4 linked regions of the Struthio camelus genome follow. The protein of the gene in region 2 interacts with the protein of the main gene of each other region in a biochemical or structural test. Links are inferred from orthologs where the notes say so. Each region holds a gene or a part of one and is shown on either strand. Other genes may lie near its edges.

What was found.
Region 1: of the proteins of UBA1 (region 2) and UBE2T, one has a biochemical effect on the other in vitro, tested with the Homo sapiens proteins (4 studies listed by BioGRID, with this or other methods). The link is inferred for Struthio camelus from reciprocal best matches to the Homo sapiens genes UBA1 and UBE2T.
Region 3: of the proteins of UBA1 (region 2) and ubiquitin-conjugating enzyme E2 E1, one has a biochemical effect on the other in vitro, tested with the Homo sapiens proteins (9 studies listed by BioGRID, with this or other methods). The link is inferred for Struthio camelus from reciprocal best matches to the Homo sapiens genes UBA1 and UBE2E1.
Region 4: of the proteins of UBA1 (region 2) and UBE2N, one has a biochemical effect on the other in vitro, tested with the Homo sapiens proteins (10 studies listed by BioGRID, with this or other methods). The link is inferred for Struthio camelus from reciprocal best matches to the Homo sapiens genes UBA1 and UBE2N.

The regions. Positions count from the first base shown.
Region 1 is NC_090965.1:3,944,270-3,952,014, forward strand, and holds the start of UBE2T (ubiquitin-conjugating enzyme E2 T), read left to right. Parts: upstream 1-4,739; 5' UTR 4,740-4,781; intron 4,782-5,519; 5' UTR 5,520-5,523; coding exon 5,524-5,632; intron 5,633-6,480; coding exon 6,481-6,550; intron 6,551-7,156; coding exon 7,157-7,262; intron 7,263-7,745. Other genes in the region: cryptochrome-1-like, read right to left, coding at 1-2. UniProt on the Homo sapiens protein: Accepts ubiquitin from the E1 complex and catalyzes its covalent attachment to other proteins. Catalyzes monoubiquitination. Involved in mitomycin-C (MMC)-induced DNA repair.
Region 2 is NC_090979.1:729,716-736,873, forward strand, and holds the start of UBA1 (ubiquitin-like modifier-activating enzyme 1), read right to left. Parts: upstream 3,015-7,158; 5' UTR 2,996-3,014; intron 350-2,995; coding exon 230-349; intron 1-229. Other genes in the region: NDUFB11 (NADH dehydrogenase [ubiquinone] 1 beta subcomplex subunit 11, mitochondrial), read right to left, coding at 6,596-6,722. UniProt on the Homo sapiens protein: Catalyzes the first step in ubiquitin conjugation to mark cellular proteins for degradation through the ubiquitin-proteasome system.
Region 3 is NC_090943.1:44,085,976-44,093,982, reverse strand, and holds the start of ubiquitin-conjugating enzyme E2 E1, read right to left. Parts: upstream 3,011-8,007; 5' UTR 2,990-3,010; coding exon 2,930-2,989; intron 2,768-2,929; exon of another isoform or gene 2,676-2,767; intron 1,785-2,675; coding exon 1,606-1,784; intron 1-1,605. UniProt on the Homo sapiens protein: Accepts ubiquitin from the E1 complex and catalyzes its covalent attachment to other proteins. Catalyzes the covalent attachment of ISG15 to other proteins. Mediates the selective degradation of short-lived and abnormal proteins.
Region 4 is NC_090942.1:51,333,114-51,340,362, forward strand, and holds the start of UBE2N (ubiquitin-conjugating enzyme E2 N), read right to left. Parts: upstream 3,002-7,249; 5' UTR 2,865-3,001; coding exon 2,835-2,864; intron 1-2,834. UniProt on the Homo sapiens protein: The UBE2V1-UBE2N and UBE2V2-UBE2N heterodimers catalyze the synthesis of non-canonical 'Lys-63'-linked polyubiquitin chains. This type of polyubiquitination does not lead to protein degradation by the proteasome.

The sequences.
Region 1 (7,745 bases), on a different chromosome or scaffold from region 2:
ATCCTGGCGTCTTTCTGAGATCTCTTAAAAGAGAAACTGTTGTCTTTTGGGATTCCCAATCACTATTAAAGAACAAGGTCAATTAGCAATTAGAAACAGAGCTCTGAACAATTCTCAGTCCTTTCCATCGCAAGTCTGGTCTGCGTTGTAACAAACTTTCATGAGAGAGAAAAGCAGAAACAGGACCAAGCTGCTCCTCCTCCATCACATACCTACATGCCAGGTCCCACCATTCAGCAACTGTATCACCACCTAGCTGCACAGAAAACAGTTCTTCACCAAATGAATCACTCAAGCCCCAAAATTAAAACCCTAACGTTCAATTACGTGCTGATAGTGCTCACCAGAAGGAAGGAATCAAAACAGACAGAGCTGCTGGAGTTGCATTTACTGCAATAACATTCTGAAACATCATTGCTGATGGGGCCTGCAGCATCTGTCAGCAAACTCTCCATAGACCACAGCAAGATGATTCAAGAACAAAGAGCCTTGTGGCTGCAGAACCTCTGCTGCCTTTTGCACACAATGGGCTCACAGGGAGAACAGTTCTGCAGGAGCCTTCATCCCATCAAAGACCCGATGTAGCACTCGCCCTAGGAGCAAAGCGCCTTTCTGGATTGCTGCAGGAGGCAGATCTGAAAGGCACGACACGTCTGCTCACTTTACGCGGCAGTAAGGCTGCAAGGTGAAATAACAAAAAGCAAAGCACAGCCCAACACTGATACAGGAGCACATACTGCTATTCTGACAACATCGCTTTCTTACTCAGGATGCTGGCTGGAAAACATATGCTGTGAGAGGAAGGTCCTGTCCTGAGCTCAGGTTTGCCACTTTCTCACCAAGTGACACATCACGTTCTCCATCCCATCAACAAGATTTTAAGTTGTTTTAAGGAGAGCTATCCTGGCTGGCTGCAAAACCTGCATGAGCAGCTCAGAGGAAAAATCCATCAAACACATAAGCCCAAAGAAACATATAAGCCTCAGTTTCCCACTGGTTTTATCCACTCTTCCTAGCCCCAGGAGATCACTCTGTGCCTCTAAGTTTCAGGCGAAAAGCTCTCCTCTCCCTGTGGCAAAGCTACATAACAATAACTGTACAAAACTACCACTTTTCTAAGATAAGGCTGATGTAGGAATTAACATACGTTAATTTCCCCTTGAACTGTTTCAGCTGAGTTTAGGAAACTTGCAGGAGGGCTGACCTTGGCTCTCAGTCTGAGAAGCTGCTCGTTGCCCTGCTCATGGAGTGATGGAGTCAGAGCAAACGGCAGCAGACACGACTAGCTCAGCCAGCGCCTTGGGTTTGTGCCAAAGCCTCGATGTGCCAACATCCTTCCCAACCTGCTCTCTTCCACGTTCTCTCTGTGGCCATGTGCAAGGAGTGAAGCTCATTTCCCATCTCCGAGGTGGTGTTCACACCTGCTTCTAATTTTTAGCATTACCAGGCAAACAAGAATTAAGGGATTAGACCAGCACAGAAACAAACAATATTCTCTAATCCAGTTCAGCTCTTCCAGCCAAATTGCGCTATTCACACCCTCCTAAATGGCCCAAATAGGTGACTTGCTCAGCCCATAATCAACAGCTTTACCAGCCTCCTAAAAGATGATCTGACTTGCCCTCTTCCCAAAACACCACCATCAGCATTACTGAGACAAACCCAATTGCGCTCCCAAGCCACGATGCAGCGCACTGCAACTTCCCAATAACCTAAACCCGCAAACTCACAGGCTTGCAAGAGCCCAGCAGCGCAGCACACAGCCAAGCATGGGGATTTGGGCTTTGCAGGAAGCTCTGTGCTGAGCCTTGGTTCCGGCATTGAGGCTTCCAGGGAGGAGACCATGGTACCACCCTGCCGTGGCACCACCCCTTTGTTGCAGAAGAACAGGAAAAACAAGGTGACTTTCCCATGTGCTCAGCACCCAGCCAGCCAGCGTTTTTGGGTAACAAATCACAGCAAAGGCGCTAAAACAGTCCCTGGCATGCCATTGCAGGGGCACAGCAGCCCGCCTGCATCAGCTGGCCTTATGGCTCTGCAGACTATGGGGCTGCCGCAAGCCCGGAGCCCCGCAACCTCATATAGCTTATGGGGCAGCCCCCAGCTCACAGCCCCACACAGCCTATGGGGCCACCCTAAGCCTGGGGCCCTGCAGAGCCTATGGGGCTGCCCCAAGCACAGGGCCCCATGGGCCCCCACAGCTCAGGGGGCAAACCTGAACTCAGGCGCCACACGTTACGTGTGGCCACTCCGAGCCCAGGGTGTCACAGCCCCACACAGCCCTCGGCGCTGCCCGAAGCGTGGGGCCTCTGCGCGGAGCCACCCCGGGGGCATCCCTGCCCTGCGGGAATGGAGCCACCCGTGCTGCTCCAGCCGGGCCGCTCGGACCATTCCACCTGCCAGAGGTGGGGGGAGCGCTACCTGCAGGGTGGACAGGGCAGTGCCATGGGGACACACCAGTATCGGGACTGGGAGATACTGGGTGAGGGGGGCCATTGGGTCTGGGGGCTCAGAGGGCTTGGAGGTGATGGGAGACCCCAGGGGGCAGGTGAGGGGCAGCTCTGGGGGATCCCAGTGCAGGGGACTGGGGGTAATGGGTGGTACTGGTGCAGGGGCCAGGAGTAGTGGGGGGTCCCACACTGGTGAGCGGGGCTGTGCTGGGCCACGCTGGTGAGGGGATGAGCTGGGACCCAGGGCGGCGGTGGGAGTTAACGAGGAGGGATTGGGTGCGCAGGCCCACTGGTGGCATCAGAGACGAGGCTCGTTACACCAGAGGCGATGCTGTCGACAACGAGGCTGTTACACCGGTGGGGACAGTCAGAAATGAGGCTGCTACACCAGAGGCAACACCGCACCAGGAGCCCGCGGGGGCCCTCAGAAACAGGCTGCCTCGTCGGGAGGAAGGGGAAGACCCCCTGGGCCGGGGGTGATGGAGGGGAAGGTGGAGCAGATGTCGTCAGTCACCTTCAGTTAGGATTTATCCAGTTGTTCTTCTAACTCGCAGCGAACCAGCGGCAGGAGGCTGTTCGCTCAGCAAGAGCGGGCCGACCCCCGGCCGTGCCTGCGTTACCTCTGTTAACTGAAAATCAGCCAACTCCGAGGAAAACGTGCCTTGCACTGGACGTAGCCACACAGTTTGGGAGAGGCGCGCTGCGACACAGAGCAGGGAACAGCCCGAATCGCAAGGCTGAGCCTTACCTTGCGGGTTACCGGCAGCCGCCCGACCCGCTGGGATGGGAAACCCCACCAGGACTGATGGCACCTCTCCCGCCGGGAAGTGTTTCCCTCCGTACGCAGAGGTCCACTGGAGGGATGTGGCGGTCACCGGAGCATCACCGTCTGTATCCAGCCTCGCCGGTCCTGCAAGCATTGGGAAATTCATCAGCCAGGTTTAAACATGCCTAAATATCGGTGCATAAACGCACGCATAGAGGTGTTTTGAGCAGCTCAAGGCTTTTGCGCAATCGCTGATAGAGGAGAAGGATGGCAGAGCGCTCCCAGCCCTCCCGCCGGCTGCCTCCCCGAGCCCACGGAGCAAGATCGGCCGCGTACAAAGCGGGGCCTACGGGCTCCTCTAGGAAGGAAAGCTTCAACGTTAAAAAAAAAAAATTCCCTCTGTGGACGCTCTCTGTCCTCCAGTTTATTTAGTTAAATCCACTGCCCACTGAGGAAGGGACAGCGCTGCAGTTATAAAGCTTTATAGAGGCGCGTGTCGGCCAGCTGGCTTTGCAAGTGGCACCCGAAACCGCGTGCTTGGGCTTCTGAAGCTTAATTACTGTCACCATGAAGCCGTTCGATTGTCTTCTAATTTGACCGGCTTTCAAACAATCCCTTACCTGGCCCTGAAACAGAATGCATTTCTGTGTTAACGGGGTTACATAAACCCAGGCTGGGTACTGGGTCAGACCCGAGGCTGCCTTTGCTCTAACACCTCCAAGCTACTCATCTCGCGGCGGCAGGCGAAGGCGACGCAACGCTGACGGGCGGCGTCTGCCAAGAGAAAACCCTCCAGTCGCCTCGCCCGGGGAAGCGGACGCGCGAGGGCGTCGGGAACGGGGAGGGGGGGAAGAAGGGGTCGGGCAGAGCGGTCACCCAAGGCCGCCGCCAGGCCGGGAGCTGCCCGGGCCTCGGGGCACCTTTCTCCTCACGGCCGGATTAACCCCCCTCCCCCGCCCCGGTGGACGCTTACCTCCTCCCCGGGGGGCCGGCGGCGGGAGCTTACGCAACGCCGGCCGCTCATCGCGGCAGAGGAGGGGCCTCCGGGCGGGGCGGGGCGCGCTCGGCTGGCCACCGGGGCCGAAGCGCTCCTTCGGTCTGCGGGTGCTTGGGGTGCTTTCTCGCTGCGTTTATGGGGCTGACTGGGGCGGGCAGGGTGAGGGGCCGCCGCTCCCGCTCCCCCACTGTCCCACACGCCCCCGCGGCCGCTCCCGCTCCCCCACTGTCCCACACGCCCCCGCGGCCGCCCCTACCCTCCCTTCGCCCCCTGCCCGGCTCTCTCACAGGCCCCCGCGGTCGCCCCCACTCCCGTCCCGCCCCCTCCGCGGCCCGGCCCGGCCCTGGGGGCGTGGCTAGCGCGCCCGCCTGCGCGGCTCCTCCAATGGCAGCGCGCCTTCCCTTCGAATTCGAGCGACCGCCTCGGGGGGGGGCGAGGTTTTCTGGTGGCCAATCAGCGCCGTGAAAGGGGGCGGGGGGGGTCCCGCCGTTGCCAGGCAGCGGGGGGCGGGGGGTGGAGAGTCTGGCGTTCCCGCGCGCTGCCGCCGCCGCCGCCGCCTGCTGCGAGGGTGAGGGGGGGCCCGGCCGGGAGGGGGGGGTTGTTTAGGCTGAGGGGGGCTCCCAGGCCGTGGGGTGCTGGTTCGGCCGAGGGGGGAGAAGGTGACTCCTGGCAGCGTTAAGGCGGGGGTGCGGGGGGTCGGTAGCCCCCAGGGGGCCTCCGGGTTCCTTGAAGGGGGGGGAAGGCCCTGGGGGAAGGGGGTGTCGCCGCCCGGAGGGGCATCGCTGTCCCTGAGGCACCTCTGGGGGAATTGGGGGGGGGGTCCCTTCACGGAGGAAGGGGCAGAGCCGCCCCTTCGGGGTGGGGGGTGGAGCCGGGGGGCACCGGTGGGGGCCGAGGGGGGTGGTCGGCCCTGGCCGGACGGTGGGTGCCCCGTGGGCAATAATTCGTCGCCCACCCCCGGGGAGCGAGGGGCGCCCCAGGGCTGGACAGTCCCTCTCGGGGTGTCAAGTGCAGTCATGGACTAGGAGGGTCTGTTAGGCTCAGCTGGGCCCTGGGGCGATGGGACTGGTTTGGAAGGGGGGTTTGGTTCCCCCCCTCCAGCTGAGTGCCAGGAAGAGCACTAGGAGCAGGCTCGGCCTCGCAGAGGGGTGAGAGTCTGGGATTCGCATTAAGGCAACTGCTAAAGCGTGGATAAATTTGAAACCTGAGTTAATTCTCCGTAGCTAAAAACGTCTCAATACGAGATGCTGTTCATGAAGGGGCAGCAGCGCTGCCAGCTATAAAATTCAGTCTCTTGTGATTTCAGCACAATGCAAAGAGCATCGCGACTGAAGAGGGAGCTCTCTCTCCTGACCACAGAGCCACCTCCAGGCATTACCTGCTGGCAAAACGAAAACCAGCTAGATGATCTACGAGCTCGTATGTACCTTTCTGGTGGGGCCTTTGAGTAAGGGATGCGCTAGAATTTACTGCTAGACTGGATTTGTTGGGGGGGGGGGGGGGGCGGCATAAGCTTTATAGGCTGCATGGAGTTGTGGAGTTCTTGGGAAATGCTTAGGCTCTTTTTTAGCTTTCCTTTTAATATAATTTAGCCTATGGCTCTTAGGAACAGTTCATATTCTGGCTCTGAGTTTGAGAAGGAACATGAAAAGAAGCAGTACTGGATGTTTTTACCCTTCCTTATGCTAACTGTTTTCCTACCTTTATGCAAAATGCCACCTGTTGGTGCTGAGCTTCTGTTCTCTATTGTTTCTTCTAGCTATTGTTGTATTATGACTTGCAGACTGGAACCTGATCTTTCTCTCCTTCAAAAGTTGAAACTGGCACTTGCTTTAAAGCGTTGCAGCAAACAGGGAGAAGATATCTAGAGTTGGCCACAGTGTGAAGACAAAAGCTCAGCCAGCAGGAGTTAGTGAAACGTCACATCTTCTCCCAGCCTTTCACTTGCTTGCACAGAGCATAACTCAGCTGAGCGCTAGTAATGCAGACTGTATGTGGCAATCCCATCCTTGCTTGATTTTTCTTTTATCTTGTCCTCCCCCATTCCTTTTAATTTAGCTTTTATAATTAAATATTGTTTGGACCCTCTGTAGGTCAGGCTACCGTTTTGACTACATGGAGCTGAGAGTGGTTTCGTGATAAGGTGGCAGCTTTTTTGGTGGATCTCAGCAGCGTTACAGTTGCGTAACTGGGTGTTATGTGGAAATTGTTGGACAAGTTCAAGTGTTTTGAATGTAATCCTTGTGTTTTAATATTGTTTTTTAAAGAGATTTTAGGAAGTGCAGAGACGCCATATGAGAAGGGAATATTCAACCTGGAAATACTTGTTCCTGAAAGGTAAGTGGGCAGTGACATGAAGTTACTCTAGTCAAGGAAGTAGAGTAGTGTTTTTCCTTCAAATATAAGTTAACTCATGCAAGATGGTTGATAGAAGTATGCCAAAAAGCAGAATTAGCTTATTGGAGATAGAGTACTAGTGCTTAGATCTTTCCTTAAGCCTCCTCACAAAGAATGTGTTGATTAGCTTTAGGTGAGGCCCTTCATCTATGGAATGTAATTTTTATTTCAGTTTGCTAATATGCTTATTTCACTTTGGAAGCACCAAGGTGTGTGATTAACAATCTAAAAATGTTTTGATAAGATCTCTAGCTTACTGTATCATTTCAAAGCTTTCTGAAAAGTAGCTCAGTCACGAGTAGAAAACCTCCTATCACATTTGCCTCTTTGTGGAGAGCTATCTACCTAGAAAGTGCTAGACAGAGACAGCTGAAAGCATCAAAGGCAGAGTGGTCAGGCATAGCATTGCTTTCTCCAAAAACTTGTGGGAAAGGACACCAGTTAGTAAATGGCTGGGAGAAGAAAATGATGGCATTACTTGGGTGATGTGGCAAATGGAATACAAATATAAAAAGAACCTTTTTTTTTTTTTTCTATCCTTTATAGATACCCATTTGAGCCCCCAAAGATTCGCTTTCTGACCCCTATCTATCATCCTAACATTGACTCCGCTGGAAGGATTTGCCTGGATGTTCTTAAATTACCACCAAAGGTAAGATAGTGCTACTTGTGCAAGGGTAAGTGAGCCTGAAGAGGATAATTAACTCCTTATCTTTTTGCCTGTAAAAGCCTTACTAAATGTCTGTCTGCTACTGACTTATGTACGTAGGAACACACGAGTAAAGTTTGTGTGTGGCATCTCCTTTGTTTAGAGACTGGAACACAGGCACCTTGTTCCATGTAAGCTTCCAAGGCTTTAAGGATTGGAGCCAAAAGGTGTTAGGAGGCCTCTGAAAAAACAGCCTGGATATCCCAATACTGACACAGTACAGATGTGTAGGACACAACCTGTGGTTGTCAGTTGGGCTTCCTTGGAGAGGCTGCACCCTAGGTGTTGAGAATAGATCAGGTGTTTTCCATGTGGGTTTAACTGTTCTCTGCTTCCCACAGGTGGCTCCCACCTCTGTTGTAGTGTGTGGAGGCTGGTAAATGCTGTAAATCCTGAGGTTTCTCTAGGTAGCCTGTGTGCGGGTTT
Region 2 (7,158 bases):
TACGGGGTGACAGCAGCTGACAACCAGGTGACAGTCGGCGACTCTTCTGTTGTTGGGGGGGCGCAGCACCCCGGGGGGTTGACACAGGCGACACCAGCTGACGCCGAGCGACACCGGTTGACACCGCACGGCAAGCGGGTGACAACCGCGGGGCGCGCGCGACGCAGGGGGCGGCGGGGGCCCGGGGCACCCCCGGGGGTGGCAGCGGGCGGGGCGGGGCGGCACTCACGTTGGCGGGGGTGGCGCTGGGTGACGCGGGCGGGACGCTGGGGACGGCGGCGCGGTTGGAGCCCGTCGGCGGCTCAGACCCGGACACGCGGCGCTTCTTCGACAGCGGGGAGCTGGACATCTGCGGGGCGGGTGACACCGGGTGACGCCGGCGGCACCGGCTGACGCCAGGAGGGACTTGTGGGGGGGGGGAGGTGACGCTATGGGGGGCGCAGGGCGGCAGCGGGAGGGATGTTGGGGGACGCCGGTGATGGGGGGGCAGAGAGCGGCGCCGGGTGACAGTGGGTGACACCGGGTGGAGCTGGAGGAGATGTAGGGTGACACCGGTGACACCCAGGTGACGCCTGGGAGACACGAGGTGACACCACGAGGATGGAGGGTGACGCCAGGGAGACACCGGGGGCCAGCGAGGAGGGTGTACGGCTGTACCGCGGACACCGGGTGACAACCCTGAGGCACCGGGTGACACCCAGCAGGCACCGGGTGACATGTGGGAGATGTAGGGTGAAACCGGGGGGGTGCAGGGTGCCACCAGCAACACCCGGGGGAGGGGATCGGTTGACACTAGGAGTATCGGGTGATGCTCAGCAGGGTGTAGTGTGACACCAAGTACCACGGGGGGGGGGGGGGGAAACACCAGGTGACACGTGGGAGATGTAGGGTGACACCAGGTGACACCGGGGGGGGGGGCAGGGTACCACCAGCAACACCCGGCGGAAAGAAAACGGTGACACCGGGGGTACCGGGTGACGGCTGGTGGGGTGTAGGGTGACACCAGGTGCCACGGGGGGGGCCACCGGCTGACACCCCGTGGTACTGGTGACACCGGGAGACACCACGTGGTGCCGGGTGACATTGGCGCCGCACACTGGTTGGGGGTGGGGGCTTCCCCGCGTGGGGGGCGGGGCCTTCCCGGTGGGGGGCGGGGCTTCCTGGTGCTGAGGGGGAGGGGGGGAACCGGTACGGGGGGGGGGTTACCGGTACCGGGGGGGGGGGGGGGTTACCAGTACCGGGGGGGGGATTACCGGCGCCAGGGGGGGGATTACCGGCGCCGGGGGGGGGGGGGGAATAACCGGCACCGGGGGGGGGGGAATAACCGGCGCCGGGGGGGGGGGATAACCGGCGCCGGGGGGGGGGGGGAATAACCGGCGCCGGGGGGGGGGGCGGAATAACCGGCGCCGGGGGGGGGGGCGGAATAACCGGCGCCGGGGGGGGGGCGGAATAACCGGCGCCGGGGGGGGGGCGGAATAACCGGCGCCGGGGGGGGGGGTTACCGGCACCGGGGGGGGGGGGTTACCGGCACCGGGGGGGGGGGGTTACCGGCGCCGGGGGGGGGGGTTACCGGCGCCGGGGGGGGGGGGTTACCGGCGCCGGGGGGGGGGTTACCGGCGCCGGGGGGGGGGATAACCGGCACCGGGGGGGGGATAACCGGCACCGGGGGGCGGATAACCGGCACCGGGGGGGGGTTACCGGCGCCGGGGGGGGGGGGTTACCGGTACCGGGGGGCGGATAACCGGTACCGGAGGGGGGTTACCGGCGCCGGGGGGGGGTTACCGGCACCGGGGGGCGGATAACCGGCACCGGGGGGTGGATAACCGGCAGCGGAGGGGGGTTACCGGCGCCGGGGGGGGGGGTTACCGGTACCGGGGGGCGGATAACCGGTACCGGAGGGGGGTTACCGGCGCCGGGGGGGGTTACCGGCACCGGGGGGCGGATAACCGGCACCGGGGGGTGGATAACCGGCAGCGGAGGGGGGTTACCGGCGCCGGGGGGGGGGGTTACCGGTACCGGGGGGGGGATAACCGGTACCGGAGGGGGGTTACCGGCGCCGGGGGGGGTTACCGGCACCGGGGGGGGTTACTGGTACTGGAGGGGGGTTACCGGCGCCGGGGGGGGGTTACCGGTACCGGAGGGGGGGGTTACCGGTACCAGGGGGGGGGTTACCGGCACCGGGGGGGGGGGTTACCGGTACCGGGGGGGGGGGTTACCGGTACCGGGGGGCGGATAACCGGCACCGGAGGGGGGTTACCGGTACCGGGGGGCGGATAACCGGCACCGGGGGGCGGATAACCGGCACCGGGGGGGGTTACCGGCACCGGGGGGGGGATAACCGGCACCGGGGGGCGGATAACCGGCACCGGGGGGGGGTTACCGGCACCGGGGGGGGGTTACCGGCACCGGGGGGGGGTTACCGGTACCGGGGGGCGGATAACCGGTACCGGGGGGGGGTTACCGGTACCGGGGGGGGGTTACCGGCACCGGGGGGCGGATAACCGGCACCGGGGGGCGGATAACCGGCACCGGGGGGGGGATAACCGGCACCGGGGGGCGGATAACCGGCACCGGGGGGGGGTTACCGGCACCGGGGGGGGGTTACCGGCACCGGGGGGCGGATAACCGGTACCGGGGGGCGGATAACCGGTACCGGGGGGCGGATAACCGGTACCGGAGGGGGGTTACCGGCACCGGGGGGCGGATAACCGGCACCGGGGGGCGGATAACCGGCACCGGGGGGCGGATAACCGGTACCGGGGGGGGGTTACTGGTACCGGGGGGGGGGTTACCGGCACCGGAGGGGGGGTTACCGGCACCGGAGGGGGGGTTACCGGCACCGGGGGGGGGTTACTGGTACCGGGGGGCGGATAACCGGCACCGGAGGGGGGTTACCGGTACCGGGGGGGGGTTACCGGCACCGGGGGGGCATTAACCGGCGCCGGGGGGTGCCGGGGCCGGGGGCGGCGGGGAGGGGGCGGCGAGGGGCCCGTACCAATGAGGCTGTCCAGGCCCGCCGCCGGGTCCCGCCCGCTCCGCTCGGCTCCTCCGCGACAAGATGGCGGCGGCGGCGGGGCCGGAACAAAACCGCCCTCCCTTTCCCCTTCCTCCTCCTCCCCCCGCCCCTCCCCGCCCCCGCCGCCCTCCCATTGGCCGCCGCCGCCGCCGCGCCCGCGTCTCATTGGCCGCCGCCGCCGCCGGGCACGCCCCCCCTCCCCCGCGCTCCCGCCCCTCCCTTCCTTCCCCGGCCGCCGCCGAGTGCCCGGATGTTGCGGGCTCTTCCCCCCCTCCCTCCGCCGGCCCGGGGGAAGCTCCGCCCCTTGCGCATTACGCGTGCGCGCGCCGCCAAGCCGGGGGGAGGGGGCGGGGCCTCGTGACGCAGCACCGCGCTCCCCGCGCGCACATGGCGGCGGCGGCGGGGCGCTACGGGGGCCCGTAGGGGCCACGCGGCCCATAGGGGCCTATGGGGGGGGCCTATAGGGGCCTATAGGGGTTGTGGGGCCCCATAGGGGGCCTATAGGGGCTGGGGGGCCTATAGGGGGCCATGGGGACCATGGGAAGGCTATAGGGGCCTATAGGGGTTGTGGGGCCCCATAGGGGGCCTATAGGGGCTGGGGGGGCTAGAGGGGGTCATAGGGGCCTATAGGGGTTGTGGGGCCCCATAGGGGGCCTATAGGGGCTGGGGGGGCTAGAGGGGGTCATAGTGGCCATGGGGAGGCTATAGGGGCCTATAGGGGTTGTGGGGCTCCATAGGGGGCCTATAGGAGCTAGGGGGGCTAGAGGGGGTCATAGGGGCCACGGGGGGCTATGGGGCCTATAGGGGTTGTGGGGCCCCATAGGGGGCCTATAGGGGCTGGGGGGGCTAGAGGGGGTCATAGGAGCTATAGGGATTGTGGGGCCCCATAGGGGGCCTATAGGGGCTGGGGGGCCTATAGGGGGTCATAGGGGCTATAGGGGCCACGGGGGGCTATGGGGCCTATAGGGGTTGTGGGGCCCCATAGGGGGCCTATAGGGGCTGGGGGGGCTAGAGGGGGTCATAGGGGCTATAGGGGCCACGGGGGGCTATGGGGCCTATAGGCATTGTGGGGCCCCATAGGGGGCCTATAGGGGCTGGGGGGCCTATAGGGGGTCATGGGGGCCATGGGGGGCTATAGGGGCCTATAAGGGTTGTGGGGCCCCATAGGGGGCCTATAGGGTCTGGGGGGGCTAGAGGGGCCTATAGGGGTTGTGGGGCCCCATAGGGGCCCTGGGGGCCTATAGGAGCTGGGGGGGCTATAGGGAGTCATAGGGGCTATAGGGGTTTTGGGGTCTCATAGGGGCCATATGAGCCTATAGGGGCTTTAGGGTCCGGGGGAGCTATAGGGGATGGGGAAATATAGAGGATTGTGAGAACTTACAAGGCCTGATCTGTTGGGCAGACCTTATAGGTGCTACAGGTAGTATATAAACTGTAACAGTTTATGAAGTCCTATATGAATATACTAACTATGGTATGCACAAGTGCTATAGGTGCTTTGGGGGCCATTGAGGCTATAGGGGCTGTGGGGGACTCTAGGGGCTGGGGGGCCTATAGGGGCCCTGGGGGGGGGCTTTAGGGGCCACGGGGGCTATAGGGGCTGCAGGCACTATGGGAACTACAGAGGCCTCTGAGGGCTGGGGGGGCCCTATAGGGGCTGGGGTGGGCTGCGGGGGGCACTGGGGACCGTGGGGAGCTATGGCAGCTATAGGAGCTGCAGAGCCTATAGGGTCCAGTGAGGCTTTGCCAATGCAAGTGGCATAAAGACTGTAGGTGCCTATAGAAACTTCAGACATATGGTACCTCTGGAAGCAAAGGTACCTATAGGGGCTGTAGGTGCTGCAAGAGCTGCAGTGATTCATCGCAACGAGGCGGCTGGGAAGCTGTGTGGGACCTATAGGGGCTGCAGGGACCTATAGGGGTTTGAAGGACTGTGGGGTCCACAGAGGCCGTGGGGGCCGTAGCGGCTACGGGGGGTTGTGGGGCTGTGCCTATAGGGGGTGCGGGAACTATGGGGGGCTATAGGGGCTGCAAGGGGCCTATAGGGTCTGCGAGGGACAACGGGGGGCTATAGGGGCTGCGGGAACTATGGGGGGCCATAGGGGGCTATAGAGGCTGCGAGGGGCCTATGGGGGCTGCGGGAACTATGGGGGGCCATAGGGGGCTATAGGGGCTGCAAGGGGCCTATAGGGGCTGCGGGGGCCAACGGGGGACTATAGGGGCTGCGGGAACTATGGGGGGCCATAGGGGGGGCTGTGAGGGGCCTATAGGGGCTGCGGGAACTATGGGGGGCCATAGGGGGCTATAGGGGCTGCGAGGGGCCTATAGGGGCTGCGGGAACTATGGGGGGCCATAGGGGGCTATAGGGGCTGCGAGGGGCCTATAGGGGCTGCGGGAACTATGGGGGGCCATAGGGGGCTATAGGGGCTGCAAGGGGCCTATAGGGGCTGCGGGGGCCAACGGGGGACTATAGGGGCTGCGGGAACTATGGGGGGCCATAGGGGGCTATAGAGGCTGCGAGGGGCCTATAGGGGCTGCAGGAACTATGGGGGGCCATAGGGGGCTATAGGGCTGCGAGGGGCCTATAGGGGCTGCGGGAACTATGGGGGGCCATAGGGGGCTATAGGGGCTGCGAGGGGCCTATAGGGGCTGCGGGAACTATGGGGGCCATAGGGGGCTATAGGGGCTGCGAGGCACTTATGGGGGCTATAGGGGGCTCTGGGGCGGTTTAGGGGACCGCAGTGGCCGGGGAAGGGGCTATAGGAGCCTATAGGGGGGGCTATAAGGGGCTATAGAGGGGCCGGGGCGGCCCCCGGCGGCGGCTCTAGGACCCGGCGGGCTCCGGGGGAAAAAAAGCGGCCGCGGTGACGTCACCGCGCGCCTCGCCGCGGGGGCTGCTGGGAGCTGTAGTCCGCGCCGCGCGGGGGCCGCCGGGAAGGGGCGGGCGGACCCGGCCCGGCAGCGGCTCAGGCAGCCGCCTTCTGGCGGGAGGGGCCCAGGCGTCCGGGCACCCTCCCCCCCCACCACCCCTAAAGGGGCCCAGGCGTCCGGGTGAACCCCAAAAGGGGCCCAGGCATCCGGGTGACCCTCCAAGGGGCCCAGGCGTCCGGGGACCCCCAAAACGGGGGCCCAGGCATCCGGGTGACCTTCCCAAAAGGGGCCCAGGCGTCCGGGTGACCCCTAAGAGGGACCCAGGCATCCGGGTGAACCCCCCCCAAGAGGGACCCAGGCATCCGGGTGAACCCCCCCCAAGAGGGACCCAGGTGTCCGGGTGAACCCCCCCCCAAGAGGGACCCAGGTGTCCGGGTGAACCCCCCACCAGGGGCCCAGGCATCTGGTGAACCCCCCGCCCCCAACCAGGGGCCCAGGCATCCGGGCATTCCTTCCCCTCTTCCCCCCCCCCCCCAAAAAAGAAGTGGGCCCAGGCGTCCGGGCAGCGTCTCAAAGCGGGCCCAGGCGTCCGGGCGTTTATTATTCCTCTTCCCCTCTCCAAAACGCAGGAACGGGCCCAGGCGTCCGGGCCGTTATCAACGGTCCTAGGCGGTCGGTCGTAGCGCCGAAGGGGCCCAGGCGTCCGGGTCAGTCGCCGGCGGGGGGCAGGGGCAGCCGCGCCGGGTCGTAGTAGTCGGGCGTCACCAGCGGGAGCCCCTGGGCCTCGCGCGCCCGGATCTGCCGCTCGGCCTCCCGCCGCGCCCACTGCCGCAGCCTGCCGGGGGTGGGGGGGGGGCCCAGGCGTCCGGGTGACCCTCCGAGGGGTCCAGGCGTCCGGGTGACCCCCACCGCCCAAAAGGGACCCAAGCGTCTGGGTGACCCCCCCCCCAAAAGGGACCCAGGCGTCCGGAAACCCCACAAAGGGGCCCAGGCGTCCGGGTGAGCCCTCTCAAAAGGGGCCCAGGTGTCCGGGTGAGCCTCCAAGGGGCCCAGGCGTCCGGGGGAACCCCCCCCCCAAAAGGGACCCAGGTCTCCCAGTGAACCTCTGAGGGGCCCAGGCGTCCGGGTGAGCCCTCCCAAAAGGGGCCCAGGCATCCGGGTGAACCTCCAAGGGGCCCAGGCGTCCGGGTGAACCCCCTCCGAAAGGCGCCCATGCCAAAAGGGGACCCAGGCGTCCCGGGCGCCCACGTCAAAAGGGGGCCCAGGCGTCC
Region 3 (8,007 bases), on a different chromosome or scaffold from region 2:
TTTCCTCACCTCCAAAAAACCATACAACAACCATGTTCCTTCCCTCAAGACTTCAGCCGCTCCTCTCTTCACCACATTCAGACAACACCCTGCCCTCCCTCACCAGCCTATTCTGGGCTCACATAGCATCACACTGCTTTTGCCACAAAACGCCCAACCAGCTATCATCCCCTTCCCTGGAGTCCCATTACTGTCACTCAAGCTTCCCCTCCAAATTTCCCCACCCAGCACTCAGTCTGCCTCTCTTCCCCTTTAAACTCAACCAGCATCTTCTGCCTCTCTTCTAGCTGTCACACGCAATAAGAACCCTAGTCTTTTTGTATTAGACACTTCACAATTAGCAGGCTTTTAAAACTATCTTATTTTCAAAATAGCTAAGGGAACCACATGTAAACACCACTTGCCACTATCTATACAAGTTTCCCAAGGAAACATGCTGAATGGAGATGTGGAATAACCAAACTGCCTAAATTCTACAAAGCCACAGAGAACTCTTAGTTGTGATGGCAGAGCATTTGCATAAAACCCCAGTCATTTTTGACATCTACAGATATAACCTTTCTGTGCTGCTTGACAAAGCTTTTCAGTGAGACAGACTGTTAACTCTTATTGAAATACTGAAAGTTTGCTTGAGAACTTCATTTGCCAGCTTAGCTTTCTGGAACAGGATGGTGCTAAATTGCACCACAGAGTAAATAAGAAAGGGCAATAACGTTTTAACTGAATGACTCCAACAGTCTGTCCAGGTGAAGAAAACTGACTGATGTAGCTGTTCTGGAATTACTACTATGCAGGCATTCTATGCAGGCATCTCTCCCCAATATAGACATTATTCTGGAATAAAAGTAATATTTTCCCCTCAAGAAAGCCATCTTGCCTTGTAAGAAAAAAACATTTTGGAACAGAATGTCCGCAGGGGGACGTGTTGTGGATTATTTATTCTAGTCAATGTACAGCTATACAGAAAAAAATTAATACAAGTGATGAGCAGATAGGAAAATAGTAATGTATTTGGTGGAAAAGATTTGGCACTATACTACACCACTTGCACTCATCTACACTTTCTTTCATTAAGAGAACTCAAAATTCTTCACAAACATTAATTAATCCTCAGAGTAGTTCTGGAACTAAAAAGCCATTATATATCAACCCCTTTCTACAGAGAGGGAAACTGATATAGAAATTAAATATGCTACTCAAGACCACATAGCTTCCAGTAGCAGAAAAGGAATTAAGCTCCCAAACGTCATTCCTAAAACATCCCTATATCCAATGTTATTAAGGAAAAGGGAGAAGACAGTGAAAATAATTGGAGGATAGAAAAACAGCCTGGAGAAAAAGAAAGAAAAATATTTGGGATGGAATGGAAGAAGAAGCAAGGAGAGAGATCACAGAACAGCAATGTCAGGCAGACACTCCTTACTGCACAGAGATGCTGAAAAAAGTGAGATGATGGCAGCTTTCTGTGGAAAGGTTGAACATAAGTGCTAGAGATGAGGAATGGGAGCAACAAGGGAGCAGCAAGAAAAAGGAGCAAAAGAAAATGAGGAAGGAGAAAAGATAGAGTGAAGTAGTAAAAAAAAAAAAATCTAGCTGCAGCCTCACCTCTTGGCACTGGTAGATAGCAGCTTAGAGTTTTTACTCATGCTGACTTTGCTTTCCTTCTTCTTAGGTGTGCTTGCCTCTTTCTCTGTCTGTTGGTTGGAGGATGAAGATGAGGAGGAGCTGGTGCTGGCCCTTGAATCGTCATCCGACATAGCGACCCCCCCACCACACACCCCAACCTGGAGAGGAGACACCATGGGGCGTGGGGAACAAACAGTGAACACAAACACACACAGAGAAAGGCAGCTGACAATCTTGCTCTGTGTCTGGGTCATGTTCCTTTTAAAGGGTCCTCTTGTCTCCCTCGCCTCTTCAGGTCCTACAGTCCAAGCAGGAGGAGCAGTAGCCTCCCCTGCACTAGCAACACTGAGGAGGAAGGGACTTTTAAAGGGACTCTCAGAAAGCAAACGAGGAGTAAGAGGAGAAGGGACTGGACTGCAAGGATCAGGGAAGCCCAAAGCAGTTCCTTTTAATCTTCCCTGAAACTGCACACACAAGAAGAGCCATCACCACCCACCACTATCCAGCCTAGGGGTGCAGGAAATAAAAACAGAGCAGCTTCGATCTCTTGCGTCCCCTGCAAGCACGCGGGGAAGGTGGGAAGGGACAAGAAGGACACTGCTGCCAGCACTAAAATAAAAGTGGGGCATCACCAGCAACAGGGGGACACCCCAAAGGAGGATCTGTAACCTGCAGGGGAAGAAACCTGTGCCTGCTGGATCTGGTGTCAGGAGCATGTGGGGAGAGGGGGGAAGGGTGGGAGAAAAAAAAAAAGGAACAGCTAAATAGGGGCTGGAGTACGCAGAGGGGACCCACTGAGGCCCAGGGCACCGGGGGGGCACGCCAGCAAAGGGGAAAGGGAGCAAAGGGTCTGTGCTGGTGGGGGAGGAGAGCAGAAGGGCCAGGGCCTACAAGGGGTGAGAGCAGAGGGCCTGGGGAGGGCCGGGGGAGGCAGGGGGCAGCGAGGAGAGCAGCGGGGCGAGGACAGCCGGGTCCGGAGGGCACCTCGGTGCCCCCGGGGGACAGGGCCGGAGGGCGAGCGCGGCGGGCGGCCGAAAGCAGGTCCCTACCCGAGAGGGGGCACAAAGTGCTGGGGCAGGGAGGTGCGCCGGCGCCTCGGGAGCGTGTGCGGGCAGAGGGGGCAGCTGCGGGGCCGGCGGCCGAGCCGCGGCCGGGCGCGGGGGGGGGGGGGGGGCGGCACACGGGCCGACCCGGGCGGCGGCGGGGAGGGAGCCGGCGGCCGGGGGCTGCTGCCGCCGCGCTGCCCCCCCGGCCGCGGGCCCCGCAGGGCCGGGCAGCGCCGGGGCCGGGGGGACAGCGGTACCTGACAGCCCCGGGCAGGATCCCTCTGGCCCGCCGCCTGCCTGCCTGCCTCCCTGCCCATCGCCGGGCCAGCCCCTGCCCCCGGGGGCCGGCCGGGCCGGCGGGGAGGGCAGCGGGGGGTCCCCCGTGCCCCTACCTCTCCCTTTGTGTCTGGCTGCTCCTCCTCGGTGCGGCTGGGCCTGGCCACTCGTGTCTCTCTCGCTGGGAGAGAAGCGGAAGTGCTGCAACAGCAACTATTAAACAGGCAATGGCTTCCCTGGCTGCCTTCCCCCCCAACACCGAGCGGGGGCTCGGTGGGCGGCGGGGGGGGGGCGCGATCCGCCGCGGCCTCGCACGGAGCCGGGTCGGGCCGGGCCGGGCCGAGGGGGAACCGAGCGGCGGCGGCGGCGGCCGAGCCCCGGCTCCGGGGCTGGCGGGGGGATCCCAGCAGCCGCAACCCCCCCGCCGCGATGGAGGAAAGGGGCAATGGAGGGGGGCAGGGACGTGAGTTTGTAATGGAGACCCCCTGGAAAGTAATCTGCGAAGGTGTGAAGGGGGGGTGAGGAATAAACACCCTCCCCCCCCCGCCCCCGGCTGTGCTTTCTGCTTCAGGGCGAAAGCCCCAAGGGGACAAGCTCGAGGCAGGTGGCAGGGAGAGGGGACAAGCTCCTGGTGCTGCTTTTTTAAGGCTGAGAGACGATTATCAGGGTGTGTGGGGGGGGGAGGCTGGTTGTTTTCCCCTTGTTCTTGCAACTGTTTCAGCCCCAAAGCTTCTCCCTTTCCTCATCTGCTTTGTCCCTCCAGCAGCAGCAGCAACTTCTCACCTGTCTCAGTTGGAAAGCAATAAAAAAGAGAAAGAAAGAAAGAAAGAAAGAAAGAAGCCCAGTCCAAACCCCCCACCACAACCAAGCCAAAAAGGATCCCCTCAGCAGCTTTTCCACCTCTCACCTGTTCCAGCCCTAAAGCAGCAGCTGTTTCTTCCCTTCCCTCTCCTGGATCAGCCCTGGATCAACAGCAGGAGCAGCCGCTTCCCACTTGCCTTCGCCCGGAGTTCAGGATTCCATTGTCCCCCACACTGCACTTGGTGACATCACTGACACACAAAGAAGGGGCACTTCGTGATGTCATCAACGCATGCTGGGAGAGAAAACAAAATCCTGGGCTCGGGGCTTGGCAGCCACAGAAAAGAAAAAACGCTGCTTCGGTTTTCCCAAGGTAGAAGTAATAGGGATTTTTTCTTTTTTTCATTTTTTTTTTTAAGTCCCCAAATTGGGAGCCCGTGTGCATGACGGGCGCTGCATTCAGTCGACTGGAGTGCTGTTGTACTGGATTTTCGAGGCTTTTTACTCTTCTCCCCCAAATCTTTGCTGTCGCTCGCTCACTCTCTGCCCACGAAGCGAAAAAAAAGTAATTTGGCAAGAGTGACCCACCATACCTACCACATGTTCAGAAGAACAGTACACTCGGTCACCTTTCCCTGTAGTCCTTGTAGGTTGCCATAGCTCTTAATTGAAGTGCTGGACCTATTCCTGAAGGGACAATAGGAATGAGCATTCCTATCGACTTTTCCGGGATAAATTTGGCTCAGTGCCATCAGTTTCCATAGCATATCAAGAGATCACATATCGAATTACTTGATATCTTTAGTGGCCGAAAATATAATGACCATCTCCACCGTCCAGCATCGTAATGAATAGGGCTTCGTATTTGTCATCGTTCTTTCGGTTTCCAGGACCTCCAAAGTGATCTGCAGGCTGAAATGCGCGATATTCGGACAAAAGCACGGCCAGCGACATGACGACGTCACGCCTCAGGAGTCTAAGGGGTTACATTATATAACCGTAGCCCGCAGGGCACGGAGGGACACCGCGACCCCCCCCCGCGCGGCGTGGGGCGAGGGACACCTCTGGTTAGAGCCCCTCCGGGCGGGGGGGGGGAGAGGAAGGAGGAAGGGAGCCGGGCGCTGACTACTTTTGAAAACCCAGCCTTCCCGTCTCGGGCTTTCACCGCATGACCCCGGCTGGGTGACACGGTGCTGCCCGCCCAGCCCGGGGACAGCGCCGCGGTCGCCGGCTCCGGGCCCCGCCGGCAGGGAGGTGCTGCACCCTGCCCCCTCGCGTCAAGATGGCCCCAGCGGGCGGCGGCCGTTAACGGGGCAGCGCGCGGCGGGGGGGGCGACCGTTGGGCGCCCTGAGGAGCCCCCCGCGCTGTGGGTCCCCCTGCCGCCCGGCTTGTCGGAGCCCCCCATGGCAAGGTGCCTCCTCGGGGTGCTGCCCTCAGGCTCCCCCGAGACCCAGCCCTCCAGCCCTCCGCTCGCCGGCACGGGCATCCCGCCTCGTTGAGCCTGCGGCGTTAACACAAAGTTGAAATGGCCGGGGCAGCTCTGCTGCGGGGGCTGCCCTAGGACGCCCTGGTGGGGCGGGCGATGTGAAGCTGACCCTGGCGGTGGACCTCTTCTGGGGCACCTGCTCCTTTTGCGAGGTCACAGACTTGAACGGGGATGAAAACCTAAATGTTGGGTTGGGTCAGATGCAGAACGCCCGTGGCTTCTTTTGGGGGCACTTTGGGGGATTTTCCTCAAGAAAAGGGGTGTTGGGCCAGCTGAAAGCACAGCTGCCTGGGGCTGTTGAGCCCCTCCTCCACGAGGCCGTGGCTTCACAGGTTTGTAACTAATCATTGTGGTCGTGACACTGACCTTTCACCATTTCAATCCAGTGATCCTTGGGTCAGAGGCGCCCCTGGAAGGGACACCCACGTGAGGACAGTGTTTCCTTTTGTCACCTTTCCCTCCATTTCCTTGGTACAGTGCATGTGCTGTTTCCCTCTCCACTTTCTCTTTCCCCTCTCTCTTTCTGCACCACTCAGCAGCACCTCATTTCACGTGGGTTTCCCAAAGCTTCTCCCCAAACTTGCTGCCCACTCTCCTGTGTAGTTAAATAGCACAGTATATTAGGAGGATACACCAATGACATTGTAAGAGTCCTTTCTGACAAAATAAGGAATTCCACTACAATTTCACATTTCCTGTTGTTGTTGTTTTTTGCTAACCCTCCTCTTCAGTCTTTGTTACCTGCAGTACGTAGACCGTGGTGAATTGGCCTCCAGAAGCAGCTTGCTAGCAGAGCCCACCTTTCTACTTTCAACTATGGGAACAAAGCTTTTGAACTCGTGGTCATCCTTCCTCCCAATAACTTTGGAGCTTTGGCATATCTGCCATTAAACAAAGGCCTCAAAGGCAAATAAATTTCATGAAAACTGGCATTTAGATAAAGGAGGGAGAGCTGTATCACTTAGTGCTCCTCACTGAAGGGGGGGGGGGCGCAGAATTCAGCTACTTTATATCCAACAGCAATCAGCCAGCCTGTCAGCATTCTCCAAACTAGCCTGTGAAGGCAGTGGAGGATGGAACTGGGAATGTAGTGGTACGTATCAAGCAAACGCAGGAGACAAGAGGACACAAAGCAGGTGATCAGGCTTCACAAAGTTCACTGCTTATGGAACAAATTTTTAAAAACAGAAATTCTTCACTTTCACTAAAAACAAACCTCCAGTCCATTCCTGTCATCACAGGAAACATGCACCAAAGTCAAATGAGACAACAGATTAATAATGAAAGCCCTCCACTTCTGTAATAGAGGGCAGAGAAAATGCAAAGATTATTACAAAATCCCACACACATTTTTTCCTTTTTTTATGTTAATAACCTTCATAGGGGGTTATCAATAAACTAACCTTTTGTTGCAGCACACAGTCGTGGGTAACCCTGTTCACAGTAAAATGATGACCAGCAGCAGTGGTTATTTACTTTGAAGCTTACCTAAAAATGCATTCTCTGAAAGCACCTACTAATGTCATTACTTGAGCAGCTGTTACAGGGGCAACTTCCATTTCATGACTCACCTCAGAGATCAGCCAACGTGCTGTTCTCTTGACTGCAGCCAAGAAGCCAACTAATGTGCCATCCACTCTCCAGAAGCATTTTTGCGGCTTGCCTTGCTCCAGCCCATGATTGTCCTCTCAGTCCTGCGTGGACACTGAAGAACCGGAAAAGAGTCGAGGACATGGTCCTTACTCCAGAAAAAAAGGAAGACTAGCTCCCCTAATCCAACCTCTTTCCATCTTGGGAATTTTGACAAAACCTCACTGATTGCCTGCTGCCTTTTTTTTTTTTTTTTTTGGTAAAGTGTGCGTTCACTTTAGCAAGTGACCTTTCCTTCTCAACAGTCCCCCCCCCCCCCTTTTCTTTGTCAAGTTCTGCAAAGGACTTGCAAAGGAAAACTGACCCAGATTACTCAGTCTCCCTGTGCCCCAAGTTTTTTTAATCCATGGCACTAGCTCAGTGTAGCAACTGAATAGGATTAGTCAATTTTCCCTCTGGATTAAATTTGGAGGAGGCTGCAAGGCTAGATGACTAGAATCGAGTTGCCTTTGGGGCTTTGAGCTTAATTCACGGCAGAAGCTAGCCAATTCAAATCACACTGAGCCTGCTGTTAAAGGAAGGTGACTAGGATTAGTCCCTTTGTACTATCTCAACTCCAGATACATTCTCAGCATTATTGCTGGCTGGTCTGTTTGGGCCTGAGCCAAAGCCCCTTACATCTCTGTGAGCCTCTCCACCAGCTCCAGTGAGTTTTGCATCAGGCCTTTTGTGAAGAGCAGAAAAGAAACAATCACCTGTTTGGGTCTCCTAAAGTCAGCTCGCTGCTAATGTCACGCTCGCAAGCAGGAATGCCTGAAACAAACTGATACCTCGCGCAGACTTGTGATGACAAACTTTGTCCTTTCTTTGTGACCCTATTATACAATGTCAGGCAGCAAGGAAAAGTTATGACTAGCTCACTAGCTCAGGACTTATGACACAGCTGTTTGAATAAAGCTAGGTGGAAACTCTGAGTGGGAACAAAAGAGGAACTGTATTCAAATGAGAGAAAATGTAACAGAGGAAACTCAAGTGCTCATTTCTATGACATAAGGGTAGTGAACTTACAGGCTTACCCTATGGCTTCCTTCTTACCACTATCTTCCCATAAATTAATGATGCATTCCAACTTCCCTTGCTGTAATTCTCTTGAACAATATGACTCTTAATCCTTAGAATTG
Region 4 (7,249 bases), on a different chromosome or scaffold from region 2:
GTGACGTTCTAACACCACTAAGTCATACCTCTAAAGCAAGTCATCTCTTGAGCTTACAGATTCATTCATTCACGCTGGTTGCTTAAACCCTACGTTCCTAAGTAACTAATCTGAGGACAGAAAATCTGAAAACTAGGCGTAAATCTGCATCCTCTGTTTCAAACCCTTAGCAGGACCTATACTGTGACCTTTTTAACCGAATTTGGGGAAGTACTGAAAACAGAGCGCTCCGCAGAGACAGGGAAAGCTACTGCTCTCCTACTGGGCTAGGCCACAGTTTGCACATAACTAACAAACAGGCTGAAGAGCACAGGGCTGCTAGTCAACCCGAGAGCCAGGCCATCTGCCAGCAGTCGGTCAAAAAGAGGAATGCCAACCTCATTTCAAGCAGTTGGCTAGATTCTGCATTTCATTATGGTCAGAATATACACACGATTCCCTATGCTCAATAGGCCGTAGCTAGACAATACCAAGCCTGCACACAGATCAGAGGGAAAAGGTCTTTTCCTAAAGCCATTTACTTGTGTACATTTGTTACTATGCAAAAAGAAAAGGGGATCTTCTGATTCTACAGCTATTTCAGCCTTCTATGGCTCGTCCCTTTTCTCTGACCTATCTTTCTCTCTTCCTTTTCCTTTCCTGATTTTTTAAATTACCAGTAGCAGTGGAATTTACTCATTCCTTTCCATCTAAGGCAACCAGCAACAGAATATTTAACTCTAATGTTAGAGTTAGCAGGATAGCAAAGGTCAAAAAAATTCTCATCCAAGAGTCTCTCCTAAAGACTGAAGCAGGTTAAGTTTTCACCTCTGCAGCTATGACATTTCAAAACAGTACTCCGCACATTTTTGAGACTACAATAGCTAGTCATTCAAATCCTAAACTGTATGCGCATCTAGCGACCTAGGGCGAGCACAGTACAGGAGCTGTTCATCATAACACAACTAATCCAGGATTCAAAAGCTATAGATTGCCTGCAGACAATATATAAAGCACATACAGAAATAAACAACCCACACCAACCTATCATAGACAATAATCCTGTAAGAGTCTAGAGGTGGATTCCCTCCTCCATGAAAACTGGAGTTTTTAGGTCTTTTTTGTCTGCTGCCCTTCCTCCCCTGCTCTTTCCTAGGGCAGCAGAAAGCATTCCCATGCCATTACACATCTTGGAAATAAGTTGTGTGAATTGCTCCTTTTTTTTTTTCTCCTCTTCAAAAAGTGGCTGAAGAAAAAATGCCAAGGGACTTATGTGCCAGCTTACAGGACCGTGGATCTCTTGGTTGTGTTCACAAGAATTATTAAAAACATGGGAGGGGGGAGGGGGAACCACACACACGGACATCAGCTTCGTGGCCAAGTTCTTACCACTTCATGATGAATACCAGTTCCACTGTATTATGAAACAGTGTTCTCTCTCATACCTGAGATATATTCAGCATTGTATGCTGTGCACCAAGGCAGCTGGATGAGCATCAAATTAATTCAGTCTATAAGATTTGTCTTCATTCTTTCTACTGCTTACCATTCTGAGCAGTAAGCATAATTTAGTCTTTGCCTCACACAGGCTAAATGCTACTCCTGCCTTGTTTTTCCGTCATCTCCTCTATTCACCTATTATATAACTTTAGTCAAAGCAAAGATAACACTGGATTGCCTTTAAAGCATATTTAGCATATTCTGTGTTCTAGCGTTTTACAACGGTTGCCAACTTTCAGTGTGCTCAACCAACAAGAGCTTCACAGTGTTATAAATTATTTGTGGCATTCATTCACTCGAATGAGAAACAATGGTGCTATTATTTCCAATGAAGACTAATGAACCTTAGTGGGATAACTTAGTAACTCTTACAAAAGTACTGATCACCAATTCGAGAGCTTCAGGTCACACTTCTGCGAACAGAGCAGGAGTTAGCAGCCCAGCACAAGCATGCACGCTGGCTACAGGACCAAGCCACTGGAGAAGACTCACGTTGGCGCTGCAGTGCAGCTAACAGTATCCGCCTTGAGTGCCTCCAGTCCAAGTCACTCAAGTCTTAAGGTGATAAAGCACTCAGAGGGTCAGCCAGAAGTACCCCGAAGTTGACAGTTCTTACAGAGCTTGGTAAGTAAGTCAAAGTAAGGCACTGAACACCCAGCGCTAACACACCCATCATCTAAAAGCCGGTAACTCGGAGGGCGCTTAACAGCCGCCAGGTTAGCCTAACTCACAGTAGCAGGAACGCCTTCCTCCGCACGCCTCAGGACGCGGGTCAAGCGCTCGCACAGCGCAGCCTTCCTCGCACAAGCGCTAAAACCAGGCAGCCTCCCCCCGCCGCGGGCCCCGCAGCTCTGCGGCCGCCAGGCTCTCCCCCGCCGCGGCCGCGGCCGGCCGGCCTACAGGCGCCGGCCTCCGCGCGTTAAGCGCCGCCGCGGTACCCGGGCCTCGGCCGGCGCTGCGCGGCGCGGCCCTCCCCGGCAGCCGGGCCGGGCCGGACCAGGCCGGCAGAAGCAGCGCAGGCCGCGGCCCCCCGCGGGCGGGCGCGGAGCCTGCGGCGGCGGCGGCGCAGGCCCGGCCCCGCGCTCCCATTCATTCCCGCCGCGGCGCCCAGGCCGCGCCCCGGCCCGGCGGCCGCGGTGCCCGCCGCAGCATGGCGGGGGTACCGAGGAGGACCGCCCGGACCGGACCGGACCGAACGGGACCGGACCGGACCGGCCCGGCGGCCGCGCCCCTCCCCCCGCGCGGCCCCGCTCCCGGTCAGCGGAAGCGGCGCTCCCTGCCCTGCCGGCGGTGCGGGCCCCAGCCCGGCCCCCCTCCCTCCCGCGGAGCGGCGGCGGTGACGGCGGCGGCGGCACCTTGATGATCCTGCGGGGCAGCCCGGCCATCTTGTCGCGTCGCGGTGCGGTGCGGTGCAGGCTCCGTGAGTCTCGCCTCCGCTCGGGGCTCACGCGCAGCCGGAAGTAGCCCGCGCCGCGCTTCCGGTGGCGCCGCCCTCCGCCGGCGCCGCCCGCGGCACGCCGGGCAACGTAGGCCGAGCCGCGCCGGGCCGGGCCGGGGCCCTGCCCGCCGCCCGCAGCTGCCGCCGGGCGCCGGCGGGAGGCAGCGGGCCATCAGCGCCGCCGCCGGGCGTCCGTTAGCAACGGGCGGCGCGAGGCGGGTGTAAGATGGCGGGGGAGGGCGAGGCGGGCAGCAGACGTGTGGGGCTGCCGAGCCGGCCCCGGTTACGGGGAAGCAGCCCCGCGGGAGAGCCGTGTGCCGTCGGCTGCAGCCTCAGGGGCCGCAGCCACCTGCCGGCGGTCGCTCGGCACGGACCGGGTCGAGGCTTCATCAGCGTGTGCCGGGCGCCAGCACGGTGCCCGCTTCCTGCTCTTAGGCCCTAAGCGTGTCCCTAAAGTCCGCAGTCACCAAGGCATCTTAGAACATCATGACTTTGTGAATTTCCTTCTTTTTGGCCGAAAGATTCCTTGTGTAAAGTTAGAGGTCGTTTAGGTAAGTGTAAGTATCACGCGAGCATCCCGTGACACACTGCTAGAGCTGTGCAGCAGTAGTAGTAGCATCTAGTACCTCACATCATTATTGCTGCTGTACTGATGATGGGAAATAGGGACAATGCCGTTTGCCATAGGTTGCCAAGCAGGCTAGCAGCACAGCCAGGAATCGGACCGGGATACGTGATTCCCTGTCAAGTGTTTTCTCCTGGCTTCGAAACAGGACTTGTAGATGGCCTATGCCATTTCCATATGCTCTAGTAGAGTGGCAAGCGCTCTGACACTGAAATCTGGAATGTGTAATTGCTGACAGGCTGTTATCACAGAGACTACAGACATTTTATAGCTTTTTTTTTTGGCAGACATATTACATGGTGGTTATGATAACAGATGTCAGAAGAGTGGTGTGTCTTCCTTCACCCTCCCCACAATATTTCCCAACAACAGACCTAGTTTTTCTTCTTTGTCCTGCTCTCTGAGCCATTGGCACTACAGAAGCCAACTAACAAGTATTGAGTTGTGCTTCACTATTCGGTATCCTCAACTGGTTGTACACACCAGTAATTTCAAATTTCATGCAAATTCATTAAAGATATGTACCTCTGTAAACTCTTGTATACATCCTCAGCCCTTTAAACACTTCATTGCTTTCCTAACTTTAATGCTGTAACTTTCTCAGAAGTCAGGAAAATCAACATCGAGGTGACATGCAACACAAGTGCATGAAAACATGTTTGCAGAATGTGGGTTAAAGAACCTCCCTCATTCTACAGTGGGTAGGGTGAGTTTGTTTGCATGTGTTATTGGCAAATTCGCTGTGTTTAAATGTGGTCCTTTAGCACATCCTCATCTTGCTGCTTATACATTGAACTCAAATTTTTTTAAGTGTGGATTTTTCATTTGCTTAATTATTACAACCTGTTGCTACTACATAAGTATGACTAAACTCGATTGCTTAGATATTTTTATGTAATCATCCCCTTTACAAGACTTATCATCTGACCTGAAAAGGTGAAACATTGATCTCTAGAGAAAAAATTTGTAAGGTGGAGCCTGTTTTATCGACTGGATATTAACCCAGTTTTTCCCTAGCTTCACAGGTATGTAAGTATCTGTAGCATACTTGGTGCTTTATAATAAACAGTTATAATATAGGCTGCGTGGGTTCTCCTCTTGATGATGCACAGTGTCTTATTGTTTGATTCTGGTGGTTAGCGGTATTGGTGATTTATTGATTGATGGCTGTTTTTTTATTCAAATAGGAGAAATCACACACACAGATGTGAAGTCTCTCCCAAGTGACTGTACTGCAGCTTCCCACCTCTTTGAAATGTAACAGGGACAACGAGTCTAAAAGAAATTTGTGCTATGCAGAATGTGCTTGATATGGGCAAATGTAAACCTCAGGCATTTTAAACTTGAAATTTCCAGCCTGGGCTCATGTGGCAGGTTTAGAACCCGTGTGGTACTAAAACTGCTATCCAGCAATCCTTATTTCATTGAAAAATTGTGGGGGCTATATTTAGTACCCATTTCTGGTACGCAGATCTTCACAGATGCAGGTTTACTTTGCAGTAAATTTTTAAAGGCCTAAACATAGTAATGTCTTCTCAAAATGTCTGTCACTTGGGAGAGCAGTGGCAGTGTAAATGAATTAAAAAAATGTAGTGACAAGCACAATGTAGTGTTGACCAGCATATAAATAAGTGCTTACCACTGTGCAGCATGAGGACGGGTTAAAGCATCTAATTGCTTTTGAGGAATGGGATTACAGCTAACTTTGCTTAGGGAGTCAGGAGAGAAAGCGGAGGGTGGAGGGTTATGGAAAAGATAGAATTAACATTCATATAATCTTGAGGCTTCATGAATAATTGAAAATATTTCTAATCATGTTGCTATGACACCCAGTAATAACTAGGAGTCTCAATTCTGACTTAGCCAGTATGCTGACATATGCAGGAGGAACATATATATCTAAGTTATTTATAATGTTCTCTCCACGTTATCTGAACTTCACATAATACTGTAGGCAGTTTAGGAACCAAAACCAGAAAGACTTCTGCCCTACCCTAGTAACCCTTGTACATACTTGCCAGCATCAACCAAATCTGAAAATACAGGTGGAGAGGCTGATTCCTTGTGAATTTTATGAAAATAGGCAGAGAGAGGAAATGGAAGTTGGTAGTCCCATAGGGGGAAAGACTCCATGACACCAAGTCTTATTAGACATCAGAGAATCTTCAGTGGGCCATAGCTTCAAGACCAAAGCCATTAAAAAACAAACTCTGTTGTTACTCTGCTTGCCGAATTACTTCTTTTTCTTTGTTTCTGCCTCCTATTTGTCATTGTTTTCTTTTATCCTTCTCCTGGAATACTGACCATTAAAGAGCTGGCGTTAGCGGAGGAAAAAACACAGGCCAAAAGGTGAATTCAGGCTCAGTGTGCGAATAAAGTGCAACCTACTTTCTTGAAAGTGCTGCAGCTTCTGCTCTGTGAACCTTGCTCTTCATCTGCTGGGGGCAGCGAGAGAGTGGAGCATAGTTGGCTCAGACAAATGCTGAGGAACACTGTCTTCAGTGTTCCCTTACAGGTGTTGTAGACCAAGAATCTCACTTCAGTCTGGGGCTGCAACAAGTCTGTCTGGCAAGCTATTGTGTTTTGATAGTTTTCATTGCTCAATAAGTGGCCTGTCACATGCTGGAAAATTTGCAGCTTTCATGACTCCTCTCTTTCTGCCTCATTTTAGAAAGAGGTTTTTCTAGTCCACTTGCTCAGAGATGACAGTGAACAAAAATCTTGTTTTCTACTCTCCTATCTACCAAAATTTAGGTCCTTCCCATAAGTCATTCTAGCTCCCTAGAAGAGTTGCTGCAGAGATCCCTGAGTATCCATATGGGTGCCAAAAAAGCCATCCAGACTGGCTACTCCAGAATCCTGGCTTTAGACTTTGGCTCGTTGCGCTGCTCCCGTACCAAGTGATATCTTCCATGACGGGATACAGTAAAAAATATCCTTCTTTTATAATCTTCTAAAATTCCCAAAGGAATCCCAACCTAAACCTCTAAATCAGAGCTGGAACCCAAGACATGTAAGTGCCCAGGGAGCTTTGTCCCTTATACTAGCCATGTTCCACTGAGATTCTCGCATCTTCCAGTTGTTTGCCACCCCAGTGTCCTTCCAAACATAGGATTTTCCACTCAGCCATTATTGCCATTGTAATCTGGACTGCAGCCTACACAGCTCTGATCTGCTTAGCCTCCATTTGGCATGTCCCTTGGAAGGCTTCCTTGGAGAAGCGCCCCTGGTGACCCAGTGCAGTATGGCTCTGCTCTTCACTTCCATTGGTAGAACGATACTCCAACACTCCCGCTCTGGAGTTCAAGATTATCACTAAAATGTGTTTATTCTTCCCTGCCAGATCATATATTTTGAGCAGTATGGCACAGAGGTTTCTTATCTTATTTCTTTTTTCTTCAAGAAAGACTTTGCAAAGCCACATATAGCAGTACCATTAAAACTACCTAAAGAAAGTTAGAAGTTTCTCGGTAGTCATGGGGCCCGAAAGGAGAAAAGGAGGGGAAAAAAAGTAGATCTGAAAAACTAGATTTCCACAGTGTTATCTGTGTAGTTTGTCAAAACGTGCAAAGTATTTCAACCATCCTTTTTTGCTAAAATAAAGATTTGATGGGAAAAAAAATGATCCGCTTTCATCCAGAGTATTATAATGAAGTCTTGCATCCTCATTTAGACAGCTGCCTTCCCTGACTCAACCTGGGATTTTG